Linked DNA regions of Canis lupus familiaris. The protein of the gene in region 1 purifies or fractionates together with the protein of each later gene. This does not show direct contact. Links are inferred from orthologs where the notes say so. Each region holds a gene or a part of one and is shown in the gene's direction. Other genes may lie near its edges. The genes, in order: SLC34A2 and ENDOD1.

What was found.
Region 2: the proteins of SLC34A2 (region 1) and ENDOD1 purify together in Homo sapiens (co-immunoprecipitation; 3 studies listed by BioGRID and IntAct, counting the BioPlex papers as one, with this or other methods). This does not show direct contact. The link is inferred for Canis lupus familiaris from reciprocal best matches to the Homo sapiens genes SLC34A2 and ENDOD1.

Annotation. Positions count from the first base shown.
Region 1 is NC_049224.1:85,283,266-85,289,779, reverse strand, and holds part of SLC34A2 (sodium-dependent phosphate transport protein 2B), read left to right. Parts: intron 1-320; coding exon 321-516; intron 517-1,241; coding exon 1,242-1,337; intron 1,338-1,754; coding exon 1,755-1,875; intron 1,876-3,075; coding exon 3,076-3,243; intron 3,244-4,593; coding exon 4,594-4,710; intron 4,711-4,804; coding exon 4,805-4,929; intron 4,930-6,420; coding exon 6,421-6,514. UniProt on the Homo sapiens protein: Involved in actively transporting phosphate into cells via Na(+) cotransport.
Region 2 is NC_049242.1:6,017,337-6,023,850, reverse strand, and holds part of ENDOD1 (endonuclease domain-containing 1 protein), read left to right. Parts: intron 1-4,360; coding exon 4,361-5,563; 3' UTR 5,564-6,514. UniProt on the Homo sapiens protein: May act as a DNase and a RNase. Plays a role in the modulation of innate immune signaling through the cGAS-STING pathway by interacting with RNF26.

The DNA of each region.
Region 1 (6,514 bases):
GCTTGCTTCCCTCTGTCCCAGCAGAGAACTGAATGCTGTCTGGCTGGGTGGGAAAGGCTCTGCTGGGCGGTGGGAGACAGGGTCCTGGCCCCAGCACCCAGGCAGGGGTCTTTTCCCCTATGCTTGCTGGCCCTCAGTTTCCTCGTCAGCCAGCCAGATGAGGATATTGGTACCAGCCACTTGGGCATTGCTTGGAGCGTGTAGATGTGGACGTAGAGAGGTGACTTGCTGGCAGATGGTGCCATCAAGGACCTGCCCGGACTGGGGCCCACTTGCTTGCTGACTCTTCTCAATGTTGGCTCCGGCTGGGGTTCTTATAGGGCTTTCGCTGGAGCTACTGTCCATGACTTCTTCAACTGGCTGTCCGTGTTGGTGCTCTTGCCCCTGGAGGCGGCCACCCATTACCTGGAGGTCCTCACCAACCTGGTGGTGGAGACCTTCAACTTCAAGAACGGAGAAGATGCCCCCGCCCTTCTGAAAGTTATCACCGATCCCTTCACGAAGCTCATAGTCCAGGTAGCCCGGCTCCCTTCAGAGAGGGAAGGAAGGAACTAACTGCCCCCCTGCCCCCTCCCACTCCTCCCAACCGGAGAGAGATGGTGGACAAGGATGAGGGCCTATAAACACTGCTTGCTCTCTGGTTGCCTCTGAGAAAGGCCAGAGGAGCCAAGACTTCAAGGGCACCTGCCCTTGAAGAGTAACCAGCCTTCTTCATTTCCTTGACTTTGCATGTCATCTTTATTGGGGTGGGAGCGGAGTGGAGGGTGGCAAGTGCTTCTCAAGACTCAGGACTCTGGATGCTTGGGGCCACTTTATTCCCCCTACTGACCTCGGCACCCATGGGCTCACTGATAAAGGATTATCCTGCTCATACCCCCCTGCCCCCCAGGCTGATTGAACTATTATTGAAATAAATCTTAAAAGGTTTTGTGGCTGTTGCCTTGAAAAGTGGGTCAGCTTAGACCTTGCCCTTTATCACCCTTACCGTCTGGGCTTTGCTGTCACCTGATGACCTTCTACTGTGTGTTTCCCAGCTACCAGCCCACTGTTTCTACAGCCATTCCCTTATTTCTCAAGCACCTGCTAATGTCTGGGTGCAGTGCTCCATCCTGGGAGCATAGACGGAGCAAGTCAGAACCCACTGGGCTTATGTTGTTGGAGCCCCTTCCATAGAACCTCCTATGTGTCTGTCCCACATCAGTGCTGAGACCTGCTGACCCTTTCCTGTCTGTCTTCCTCAGCTGGATAAGAAAGTCATCAATGAAATTGCAATGAATGATGAAGCAGCCAAAAACAAGAGTCTGATCAAGATTTGGTGCAAGACTTTTACCAACGTGGTAAGTTTCTAAGGATGTGGCTGGGTGGGCAGACTCTTGGATCTGTGGGTTCAGCAAAACCTTGAATTCAATGTGGGCAGATAAGAGGTCAGAGGAAGTAAAAATTGGCCCTGGGAATCCTTAGGGAAGCAAGTCTTTGAATGCTTGATGGACAGATAATGCAGTAGGACAGATTCCCTCTTGCCCCACCCGCACCTTGGAAAACATGTTATTCCTGGCTTGATATTTTCATGTCTCTTGGCTTATCTATGGCTCCCTGTGTTCCCATGAATGGAGGGACCCGTCGCAACAGTGCATCATATTTTAGAGACACATGCATTGACATGTGTCTCCTCCCTGCTGGCCACACTGCCTGCAGTCCCCACCAACAGGGAGATGGTGGACTCTCTATACCATGTGTCGATGTTTGTCTTCCAGACTCAAATGAATGTCACCGTTCCTTCGTCTGAGAACTGCACCTCCCCTAGTCTCTGTTGGTCGGACGGTACCTACACCTGGACTCTCAAGAATGTGACCTATACGGAGAACATTGCCAAGTGTGAGTGGAGCTCAGCAGAGCACCAGCCACTGGGCTGGGCTGTCGGGGTGGGGGTGAGGGGGTGCTGACGTTGTCCTTTATCACAAAGATGTGCTGGCCTGAAAAGACCACGGAAAGCCTCGTTAGGAGGGCAATGGGGCTCCCCAAGGCCAGTGTGAAATGCAGTTAGTGAAGGAAAGAAAGGCACGGAGATTCATTGAGCACCAACATCATACCAAGTAATGAACTGTGCACTTTCACAGCAGCGGGAACTAAGGTTTCGAGCCAGGTCTGGGGTCCCACCAGGAGGGGTGGAACCAGGATTTGAATCCCAACCCCTCTGGCAGGTCCATACTGCACTAGAGCTCATCTGCAGATTCCAGAGGGCTCCTTCTGTCTGCTTTGGTGTATCCCTTGGGCTCTAGGGAGATACCAACCAGACCTGTAGGAGATGTAAGGCCCACACAGAACAGAACAAATACATTCAGCCCGAAGTCATGAGTCCCTGCTGTACGGGAGGCCCCCTTCCAAGCCCTGGAGCCACAGCACTGAACAAGGCAGTGAGCCTACATGATGCTCCGATTCTTTAAGAAGCTGGACTGTTGCCCTGGGAATCATGGGTCCAGACATCCTTAACTCTTCTAACCATGTGTGTGTCTCTGCTTCCCTTCATCCTCTCCACGCCGCCCATGTTAATTCTGAGCAGTAGATTCCAAGTGTGGCTCACCTCACAGCATCAATGAGTTTATCACCTCCCATGTTCAAGATGCTATACACCCATCAGTCAAACCCTAGAATCCTAGGGCCACACAGGACTTCTTAAAAAATGAGGCTTACAACTGGCAATAGCTCCTACTCTGACTTCCCCATCCTACCCCACTTGGCTCTTCAAGCTCTTCGAGGTATCAGTCGCTCTCAGGAGTAAAACACACCGTGAGACGTAGAGGTAGAAGAAAAGGCCCCGACCAGCTCTGTAACTGGAAGGATTTTACTTCATGTTCTAGCCTCCTAAGGTCCCATTGGCCAGAACATGGCCTCAGGGTTACAGTCAGCTGCAAAGCAGGCCGGGAAGTGTGGTCTTTGTTCTGGGGTGCCATATGTTGAGCCAACAACCCAGATTCTGTTACTGTAAAGCAGAAGGATGATGCTGGGGAATGAAGAACAATCGGTGGCCTCAGAGCCCCACTGGCCTCTAACAAGGGCTTTCCCTGGTCCTTTCAGGCCAGCACATCTTTGCAAATTCCACCCTTCCGGACCTTGCGGTTGGCATCATCCTGCTGTTGGCCTCCCTGCTGGTCCTCTGTGGCTGCCTTATCACAATCGTCAAGCTCCTAGGCTCCGTGCTCCGGGGACAAGTAGCTGTGGTCATCAAGAAGACAATCAACACAGGTAGGCACACCCTCACCCCAATTCTGGGCTTTCTAGGGCATGGCATCACTGGGGCCACCCCGGCGGTGGGGAGGTTCCTTTTAGATTTTCATCTAGCAATGGCCTCTGTGTGGAGTTTTTCTCTTGGATCTGATAAGCTGAAGAAGATGCCCTTTGCCCTTGAGATCTTTTTTTGTGTCTTGGGTGGAGCCTGGGCACCAGTGTCTATCACATCTGAAAGGTCCTGAGAAAGAGCCAGCTCATATCCAGAGATCTATGAGATAGGCCTTCCTTCCTTCCTGGCAGGTTTCCCCATGCCCAGGTCTTTCGGGTCTGTCAGAATCCCTTAGAGAAAGGGTAACGGATGCCCTCTCTGCTCCCCACTTCCCTTCCACTCTTGGGAAGAAAACATGGTTCTAGATAACCCATCACCATCTTGAGGCAGCCAACACAACCCCAGTGGCCAGGAGAAGCCCCTGATGCTTATGGCATCCTGGCCAAGCCAAGGATGTCGCCTCCCCATGAAACCTTCATGAAACAGGGCCAGGAATATCTACCTCTGAGGGCTGTCCCCAAGGTTGTCATGTGGCTGAGCTGGGTGACTGTGGGGACCTGCTGGGTGTGCAGGGCCTGATCCCGTGTGGGTGTTGCCGAGAACTCAGCGTGTAGGACTTCCAAGCTGCTGCCCTTTGCTTCCGTGCCCCTTCAGAAAGGTGGAGGATTTACGGCATTGGGAGAGCACCGTGAGTGCTCCGTGGGAGGAAGGTGCTTAATTGGGTGGTGTCCTAGTTCTGATTCTATAACAAATTATCGGAGGCTGGCAACACTTGTCACAGTCCTGGGGGCTGGGAAGTCTGGCATTGGGGTGCCAGCACGGTCAGGCTCTGAGGTCCCACTTGCTGATGTACAGATGGCCGCCTCCTTGCTGTGTCCTCACATGGAATGAGTAGGTCTCTCTCCTGTAAGGGCACTAGGCCAGTCAGGAGGATTCCACCCTCATGAACCAATTACCTCACAAAGGCTCTACTTCCTAATACAATCACATGGGGTTAGCATTTCAACATGGGAATTGAGAGGAGACGCTTAGTCCGCGACATGTGTGTTCAGCATCTCTACTTCCGAATTCAGTGAATGCGTGTATTGGTCCGTGGTTCCACCATCTGAACATGCAAGGTGAAAGGATTCTAAAAATCCAATTTGTAATTTATGACTATTGTGTGGGGTGGGGAGGCTTCTATACAACCTGACCCTCTAGCCCAGCCCATACTGCACCCCTCCCCACCCCGGTCCTCTGGAGGGGCGAGCTAGGCCTCCAACCCAGCCCTTCCTTAGAAAGTCTGTGACAGATCTCCTTTCCTTTCTGTCTCCTAGACTTTCCCTTTCCCTTTGCCTGGGTGACTGGCTACCTGGCCATCCTTGTGGGGGCAGGCATGACCTTCATTGTGCAGAGCAGCTCCGTGTTCACATCTGCTATGACCCCACTGATCGGTGAGTTTCTCTCTGGCTACCCTGTCTAGTTGGCTGTCACCACCTCCCATCATCCCTTGGGGCTGATACTATAGTTTTTGTATTTTTCTGCCAGGTATTGGTGTGATCACCATCGAGAGAGCATATCCACTCACACTGGGCTCCAACATCGGCACCACCACCACCGCCATCCTGGCCGCCTTGGCCAGCCCAGGCAATACTCTGAGGAGCTCCCTGCAGGTTAGGAAAGGCTGCGTGGGTGGGAGCCCGGGGGGGTGGGGGGACAGCCCCATTTGTGGTCTTACAAGCAGATGGTTTGGAACAAGAGCCAAGTTTTCTCTATCTTCAAAACTGTGAGGCCACCATCACTGGTGGTTGTTTTAAACAGAGGTGGGGGGCGGCCACTACACCACTTCCCATCTCCTCACCCCCCACTTGGGGAACTCTATTTGGATTTTGGGCAGTCACTTGTGCTCTGGGCGTAGAATTTAGAATTCTAAATTCAGGGCAGGTCCCCTGCCCTACCCGGATCAACCAGGTTACTTGGGCAAGAAGATCTTTGGCATTTGAACTCCGTCCTGGGTTTACACACTAAGCGACCTTAGACAGGTAACCTAACCTTTGAGCATCAATTCTCTCTGCAACCCGGGAGCCTTATCTCATTAGGATTATTCCAAGGATCTGATGAGACTCAGCCTAAAGCCATGCTCTCTGATAGATATACGAGTGTAGAATAGAAATTTGAGCCACCCATGTCATTTGAAATCTTTCCTAGCCATGTTTTCAAAAAGTAAAACACGATCAATCTTAATAATGTATTTGATCTAACTCATTATCATTTGAACGTGTAATTGATTTAAAAATTGGCGAGATGTCTCACCTTTTTTTTTTTTGGACGAAGTCTTTGAAATCTGGTGTGCATCGTGCGCTTGCAGCACACTTGAGGCCAGTCACACCTCCAGCACTCAGTTGCCACATGTGGCCAGTGGCTGGCGACCAGACAGGCTGGTCCAAAGCCCGTAGTGTGATGCCTGGCACCTGGTGGGCCCAAGGAAGTGGCAAAGTGCGTGGCCTCTGGAGCCAAGGCTGCTGGGGTTGGAATCCCACCTCCGCCATCTCCTGCGTGTGCAGGGAAGGAGCCTCACCTCTTCCTCAGTTGGCTCGACCACCACCAACATCAAACGAGGATAATGATGGTCTGGCAGCTCTGAGGGTATTTTTTGGAGGATTGAGGTACTCGTTGCATGTGCTTCCAACAGCTGCCTCAGCCTAGTGGGTGCTAAGATGAGCTGCTGCTGCCATTATTTGTACCAAGTGCAGCCCTCTCCCTGAACTCCCTCGGATGGGGCCGTGGGGACCCCCAGCTACCTAGCAAGCCTCTTCTTGGGCCCCACCAGCTGGGTCAAGCCCTAGGTTTCTAGGGTTTTGAGATTGATCATTGTGAATTTCAAACTCCTGGAGGACTCCAGGGGGCCTGGGCTGTGGTTCATCTGGTCACCTCCATCGGACATCCACCCACCTGCACTCGTCTGCACCCACCTGCACCCACCTGCACCCACCTGCACCCACCTGCACCCACCTGCACCCACCTGCACCCACGCACACACAGCAAGTTCCTGGGAAGGCCCAGCGGGCCCTTGGCGCTGCCCCAGAGGCCTTGTGATGCCCCTGCCATCACCCCGGCCTCACCAGGCACCAGACCCGCTCACCCCCACCCCCCTTGCATTTCAGATTGCGCTGTGCCACTTCTTCTTCAACATCTCGGGCATCCTGCTGTGGTACCCCATCCCGTTCACCCGCCTGCCCATCCGCCTGGCCAAGGGCC
Region 2 (6,514 bases), on another chromosome or scaffold:
CCTGTACCTGCCAGGCCTCTGAACTGCTTCTGAGAAGGTGCTTGTGGACTCCTACAGGAGTTGGGAAGACAGCGAGAGGAAGGAGGGAAGAAGGGGGTAGAGTACTGCTGATGAGTGCCGAAGCTTCTGTTCATGTTCAGCAGACCATCATCATGGTCGGCACATAGCTCCTCCTCCCCGCTCAGTGACAAATCAGCACCAGGTGACTCAGGTCCCTGAGGTCTACAGGGATTTCGCAGCCCAGAAGCCCTCAGGGATTGGGCTGGTGCTCCGTGGCACTGTGCCCCTGAGATGCCTCTGGGCCTCAGAATGTTCGCTCGCACGCACAGAGACCTAGAACCCCTCCCCACCCTGCCCCTTTCCCTGGGTTGTGTGTGGGGGGCAGCAGGACCACCTTTGCTGATTCCTGTGAGCCCTGCTTCCCAACGAAGAGCCTCCTTACCTCCTGCCTTTACCTACAGACTTCTCCAACAAGCCTGTGTCTGTCTCAGCTCCCTCTTGCTTGTATCCAGTCAGTCTTGTCACCTGCCTCCCTTGCCAAACCCTCAGTGGAAATCGCCCTTTGAAGCCTCACTAAGGATTCTCGAATCCTCAGAGGTTTTGGTCTTTATTGTCATCCTTAACCTTCCCTCTCTGTGGTGGGTGCCACACTGTCGATCCTCTCTCACCAAAGCTTTCTCCTCCCCTGACTTTTGATGTGACCCTAGATGACTGATTGTCCAACGGCTCCATCTGTGTTTCCCAGTTGTGTCTTGTCCTTCTTGTGTCCTCCAGTGTGGCTACCCTGTGGCTCTCATGCTGCCTTCCTCATCCAAGGGCTGCTGCTGGCGGGGGGCTGGGGCTTTGGAGCCTGAGAATCTGGGTATAAACCTTGGCCCTGCCACTTAGATATTGGGTGACCTTGTACCCATTGCTTATGTGAGTTTTCATTTTCCTGTGTGTCAAATGGAGACAGTGCCTCTCCCATTGGGTTATGTGGAGAGTAAATGGGATGCAGCAGGGCAGTGCTTTCTGAATCGTAGTCATTTGCAAACGTGCTTTACAATTTTTGCCGTATCTGAGGTGATGGGGATCCCATTAGGATTAAAAAGGATGCTTTATATATAGACCATTTTCTGTGGTGCTTGGTGCATCACGAGTGCTCAGTAAGTGGAAGTAATAATTATCCCAAGATGAGTTATCTGTACATCAGATCATTTATACTCTGCTTCCTGCTTATCCTTTCCAATTCAGCTTTTCACTTTTACTTACGTAGAATCCTATTTTTGGGGTGCCTGGGCGGCTCATTTGGTTGAGTGTCCAACTCTTTTTTTTTTTTTTTAATTTTTTTTATTTATTTATGATAGTCACAGAGAGAGAGAGAGAGAGAGAGGCAGAGACATAGGCAGAGGGAGAAGCAGGCTCCATGCACCGGGAGCTGGATGTGGGATTCGATCCCGGGTCTCCAGGATCGCGCCCTGGGCCAAAGGCAGGCGCCAAACCGCTGCGCCACCCAGGGATCCCCTGAGTGTCCAACTCTTGAGTTTAGTTCAGTCCTGATCTCAGGGTTGTGCTCAAGACTGCTAGAGACTCTCTCTCTGCCCCTCAATGCCTCAAATAAGTTAATTAATCCTTAAAAAAAAAAAAAAGGAGAGAGAAAGAATTCTATTTTCACAGGCTGGTGTGGTCTCTACCCCCATGCCTTGATGCCAAAGTCTTGTTAAGCCTTAACTAACCTTTCGGTTTCTCTGTGTTCATCGAAGTCATGCACATCCTTCTAATCCCACCTCAGCTCTGTCTTCTCCAAGAAGTAAGAAGTCATCTCTGACTGCATTCGTTGTGCCCTTCCTTCCTTTGAAATTCATTTGCTCTTTTTCTTTATTTCATTTATTTTTTAAAAGATTTTATTTATTCATGAGAGGCAGAGATGCAGGCAGAGGGAGAAGCAGGCTCCCTGCAGGGAGCCCTATGCAGGACTTGATCCCAGGACCCTGGGACCATGACCTAAGCCAAAGGCAAGATGTTTAACAACTGAGTCACCCAGGTGCCCCTCTTTATATCATTTATTTAGCATCTATGGTAACCTGCATGGCACTGTTGTCTTTTTCTTGGTTTCCTATTTAACTTTGTATCTCATTTCCCCAAATAGATGGTGACTTTCTTAATGTGAAGGCCTGTCTTGAGGCATAGAAAACAGTAAGGACACCAGCCACGGGGCTGGACTTTCTGTGTTCATGTGGTGATGCCACCACTCACTGTGTGACCTTGAGTAGGCTTCTTAATCTTGATGTGCCTCAGTTTCTTCATCTGTCAAAAGGTGAGACTAATACCATAGTACCTCATTTTTTTGGTAAGTTTAAATGAGTGAAGACTTAGCATAACCACTTACTGATTTAATACATGTAAAGTTCATAGAATGGAACCTGGCATATAGTGTTCAATAAATGTTGATGGTGGTAGTGGTGATGGTTGTTCCCAGTGCTAATGCGTCCTTCTGTGGTACCAGTCACATGTAATATATGCTTAATAAATATTGTTGAATGGATGAATATTTCCCCTCCGGTCCTCTTTTGCAATTTTCTATCCATCTGTTTTTCTTACATGCATGTTGGCAGGAAAACTGAAAGTCTCCTTTCATTTAATTCCAAAACAAAAAGAAACCCAATGGGTTTAAATAGCTTTTATTGTCTGGTATAGAGACCAACTCATTGAGAGAGACTATTTTTTTCTTGGTACTAAGTTTGAAAAGGAATTCATTACAAGATTATTTATGGGACAGGATGCTTGTGGAGGGGAAGAGTTCATTTTTCTAAAACCTACTTAGCATGTTGTGATTAGGAAAAAAAAAAAAACTTTCCTTGAAACACAGGAACTGTATCCAATGACATGGGCAACCCAGTGGGACAAGGTCAGCAGGGATGTGGAGTCCACAGAGAGAGCTTTGTGCCTGTCCCTCCATCCTGAGATTCCACTGGGAAACCAAAGAGTGAGATTAGCGGTGCATGCAAGAAGGCAAGTGTAAACCAGAAGTGTAGTCTGAAATTACCTCTTATGTCATAGGCATATTTTTGTCCTCAGGGAGTGGTGTTGTCAGTAATTTACTATAATGGCAATAACCAGATCATTAAACTGTGTCTGCAGAGAGCATGGAAAAATACATCTGCCCTTTAGGTGACACTGTCTCAAAGAATATGTTAGACTTTCTTTTTTTTTTTTAAGATTTTATTTATTTATTCATGAGAGACACAGAGGCAGACACACAGGCAGAGGGAGAAGCAGGCTCCATGCAGGGAGCCTGATGCGGGACTGGATCCCAGGACCCTGGGATCACGACCCAAGTCAAAGCAGACACTAGACCACTGAGCCACCCAGGTGCCCTTATGTTAGACTTTCTAAACCAAATATTCTTTTTAGTCCAGTTTCCCATTGGTGAGTTAGGTATTTTAGTTACATACGCACTGATATTCCTTCAGAAATTGAGGCCTTCCAAGACAGATTCAGCTGTTCTGTAGAGCTAAGTAAGCGTGGTGATGACGGGGAGCTGTTCTACTGATCTTATTTAGTTATTCAGATGATTCTATAGCAAATGACACTAAAACACTAGTCAGCCGGGGATCAGAAGAAAGTTTTGTCAGAGGTTTAAAAAACTGGTCTTGAGACAGGAAGCATGAATCATAATGAGCTTTTCTGTCAGTAGAGGTCAGGGCTTGAACCATTATAAGACCCTAGGATTTTGAGGCACCTGGGGGGCTTAGTGGTTGAACATCTACCTTCAGCTCAGGTTGTGATCCTGGGGTCCTGGGATCGAGTCCCACATCGGGCTCCCTGCATGGAACCTGCTTTACCTTCTGCCTGTGTCTCTGCCTCTCTCTCTCTCTGCCTCTCTCTCTCTCTGTCTCTGCCTCTCTCTCTCTCTCACCCTGTCTCTCTCTCTCTCTGTGTCTCTCGTGAATGAATAATAAAATCTTACAAAAGAAAAAAAGCCCTGGGATTTCATGTTTTATAAATGATATGATAGAGTGACTTCATCGTGTAATGCCCGGGGTGTGTGTGTGTGTGTGTGTGTGTGTGTGAGAGAGAGAGAGAAAGAGAGAGAGAGAGAGAGTGTGTTACCACCTATCTCTTAAGTAAAGAGATCTCTTTACTTATCAGGCAGTAAATTAGGAAACAACCTATTCGGAAGCTGCTTCCAAACACAGGGTGGTGGGATAGCAGAATGAAGTGTATGCACCCCAGAGAACCAAGCCCTTCCAAACCCGGGCACTGGGAGGGCGGGTGCCCTGGGGACTTCTCTAGAGCCACGGCTCCAAGTGCAGGTGATTCATATGCACCCTCTCCCCTGTGAACAGGATGCATCTCAATACCTGCCCTCTTCTTTCAGATTGACGACCCCACCAGCACCCTCGGGGAGCTGACTGATGAGGCTGATGCCATCTCCTCTGTGAACAGCCTGGGAAGCAAGCAGGCCCTGAGTACAGATTATGTGGACCCTGATTACCAAAGGGGACAGCTGTACCCATTCTCCCTTAGCAGTGATTTCCGAGAGGCCACCTTCGCTCTAACGAATGCCGTACCGATGAGCCCGTCCTTCCAGGAGCGGTGGTACACGAATCTCCGCAGCCTGATGGAGCGGGCCCTGACCCCGCAGTGTGGCAATGGGGAAGACCTGTACCTCATCGCAGGCGCCGTGCCCTCAGATCGCATACTTCAGGACAGAGTGACCATCCCTGCGTTTGTCTGGCTGGCAGCCTGTTGTGCCATGCCCGGGGGTGGCTGGGCCATGGGCTTTGTCCAGCACACCCGGGATGGTGACATCATAGAAGACGTGATGGTGAAGGAGCTTGAGAAACTGCTTCCGTCTAACCCCCAGCTGTTCCAGGACAATTGTGGTGAAACTGAGCAAGACACGGAGAGAATGAAGAAAATCCTGGAGGTGGTCAACCAAGTCCAGGACGAGGAGCGGACGGTACTATCCAAGGAGGACACTCGTCCCCTCTCTAGCATGACCAGTGAAGGATCAGCTCTGCTGCCTCCGGAGGCACCGGAGGAGAGGAGGAGCTTCTTGGGTAGGTTGATGGGCTTCATCACTACCCCGGTCATCAGGCTTTTCCAGTTACTTTATTACGTTGCAGTAGGCATCCTGAAGAACATTATATATTTCCTGTGGTTTGTTACCAAGCAAGTGATTAACGGCATCGAGAATTGCCTTTACCGCCTGGGTTCAGCCACCATCTCCTACTTCTTGGCCATTGGGGAAGAGTTGGCAAGCATTCCCTGGAAGGTACTCAAAGTCATGGTCAAAATCATCAGGGCCGTGCTCCGGATCCTTTGTTGTCTGCTGAAGGCCGTTTGCCGCATTCTGGGCATTCCAGTCCGAGTCCTTGTGGACGTGGCCACTTTCCCTATGCACACCATAGGTGCAGTTCCAATCGTGTGCAAGGACATTGCAGTGGGCCTTGGAGGCACCATCTCTCTGCTCTTTGACACTGCTTTTGGTACTATGGGTGGTGTATTTCAGGTTATTTTTAGTATCTGCAAGAAGATTGGTTACAGGGTTACCTTTGACAATTCTGGGGAGTTATAGAACTCCAAAAAAGCTAGTAGTGTCCAGTTACAGTGAATTTGATTTTGTTTTTTTTAAAGAGAAAGCTGGAATACTTTGTCTTTACAATGGGTTTCTGTTCACTGTCAATTACCATTACATTTTGGCCTTTGGTAGGGGTATTTGCATGCTTTTGCAAAGGAAGATGGTATAATTAGGACTTGGCCAAAGATAGATGTGGGGAGTGAGATTATGTATGTGTAGGTCATCTGTGGGATATAGGCAAACTTCCAAATCATTAGAATCTTTATTCACTCTGCTACTGGATGGACCTCCTGAGATACTCTGGTGTTCATTTGTGGTAACTAGGAATTACAGAGAAGGGAAGAGTTAGCAAGAGTATAACCTTAATCCAAAGAGTTTCTAAGAAAATGGAAAAGAAATCTTGTTTCTGTTATGAAACTTAAGGCAAAACCTATACAAATGTTGTTGGTCGATTTGTTTTCATTGCTTCTCTTTCTCTCCAACTCAGCTGATCTTGGTGAAGTACAGACATGTTTCCCTGTTGAAATAACTTTCTTAGGGATAAGGAATTTGCTAGATCCCTGAGCTTTCCATGGCTTCCAAGGACCTGTAATGTTGTTTGGGGTTTTTTTCTTCCAAAGATGAATTTTGCTGCATTTTTCTTTTAGGTAATGATAAGGATTATGTGTTAAATGTGGCATAACAAAGTTTGAATGCACGGGCAAAAAACTGTATAATACGGTCCTCTCGGGTATAAAGAAGAGAGTGCAAGGGTCAGAGCCCTGTTTGAATAGGTGCTGTAGGTCTGAGAACATCCTTAGCTAAGCTTAGATTAACTTGATGTATATTAAATCTCTGGCTAAGAATGAGCTCAAAGACTGACATGTTGGCTACCATGAAAATTTGTACTCTCCAACATTCTAGATCCACCTTTGTTATGGATCAGACAAGTACCCATTACAGCAAAAT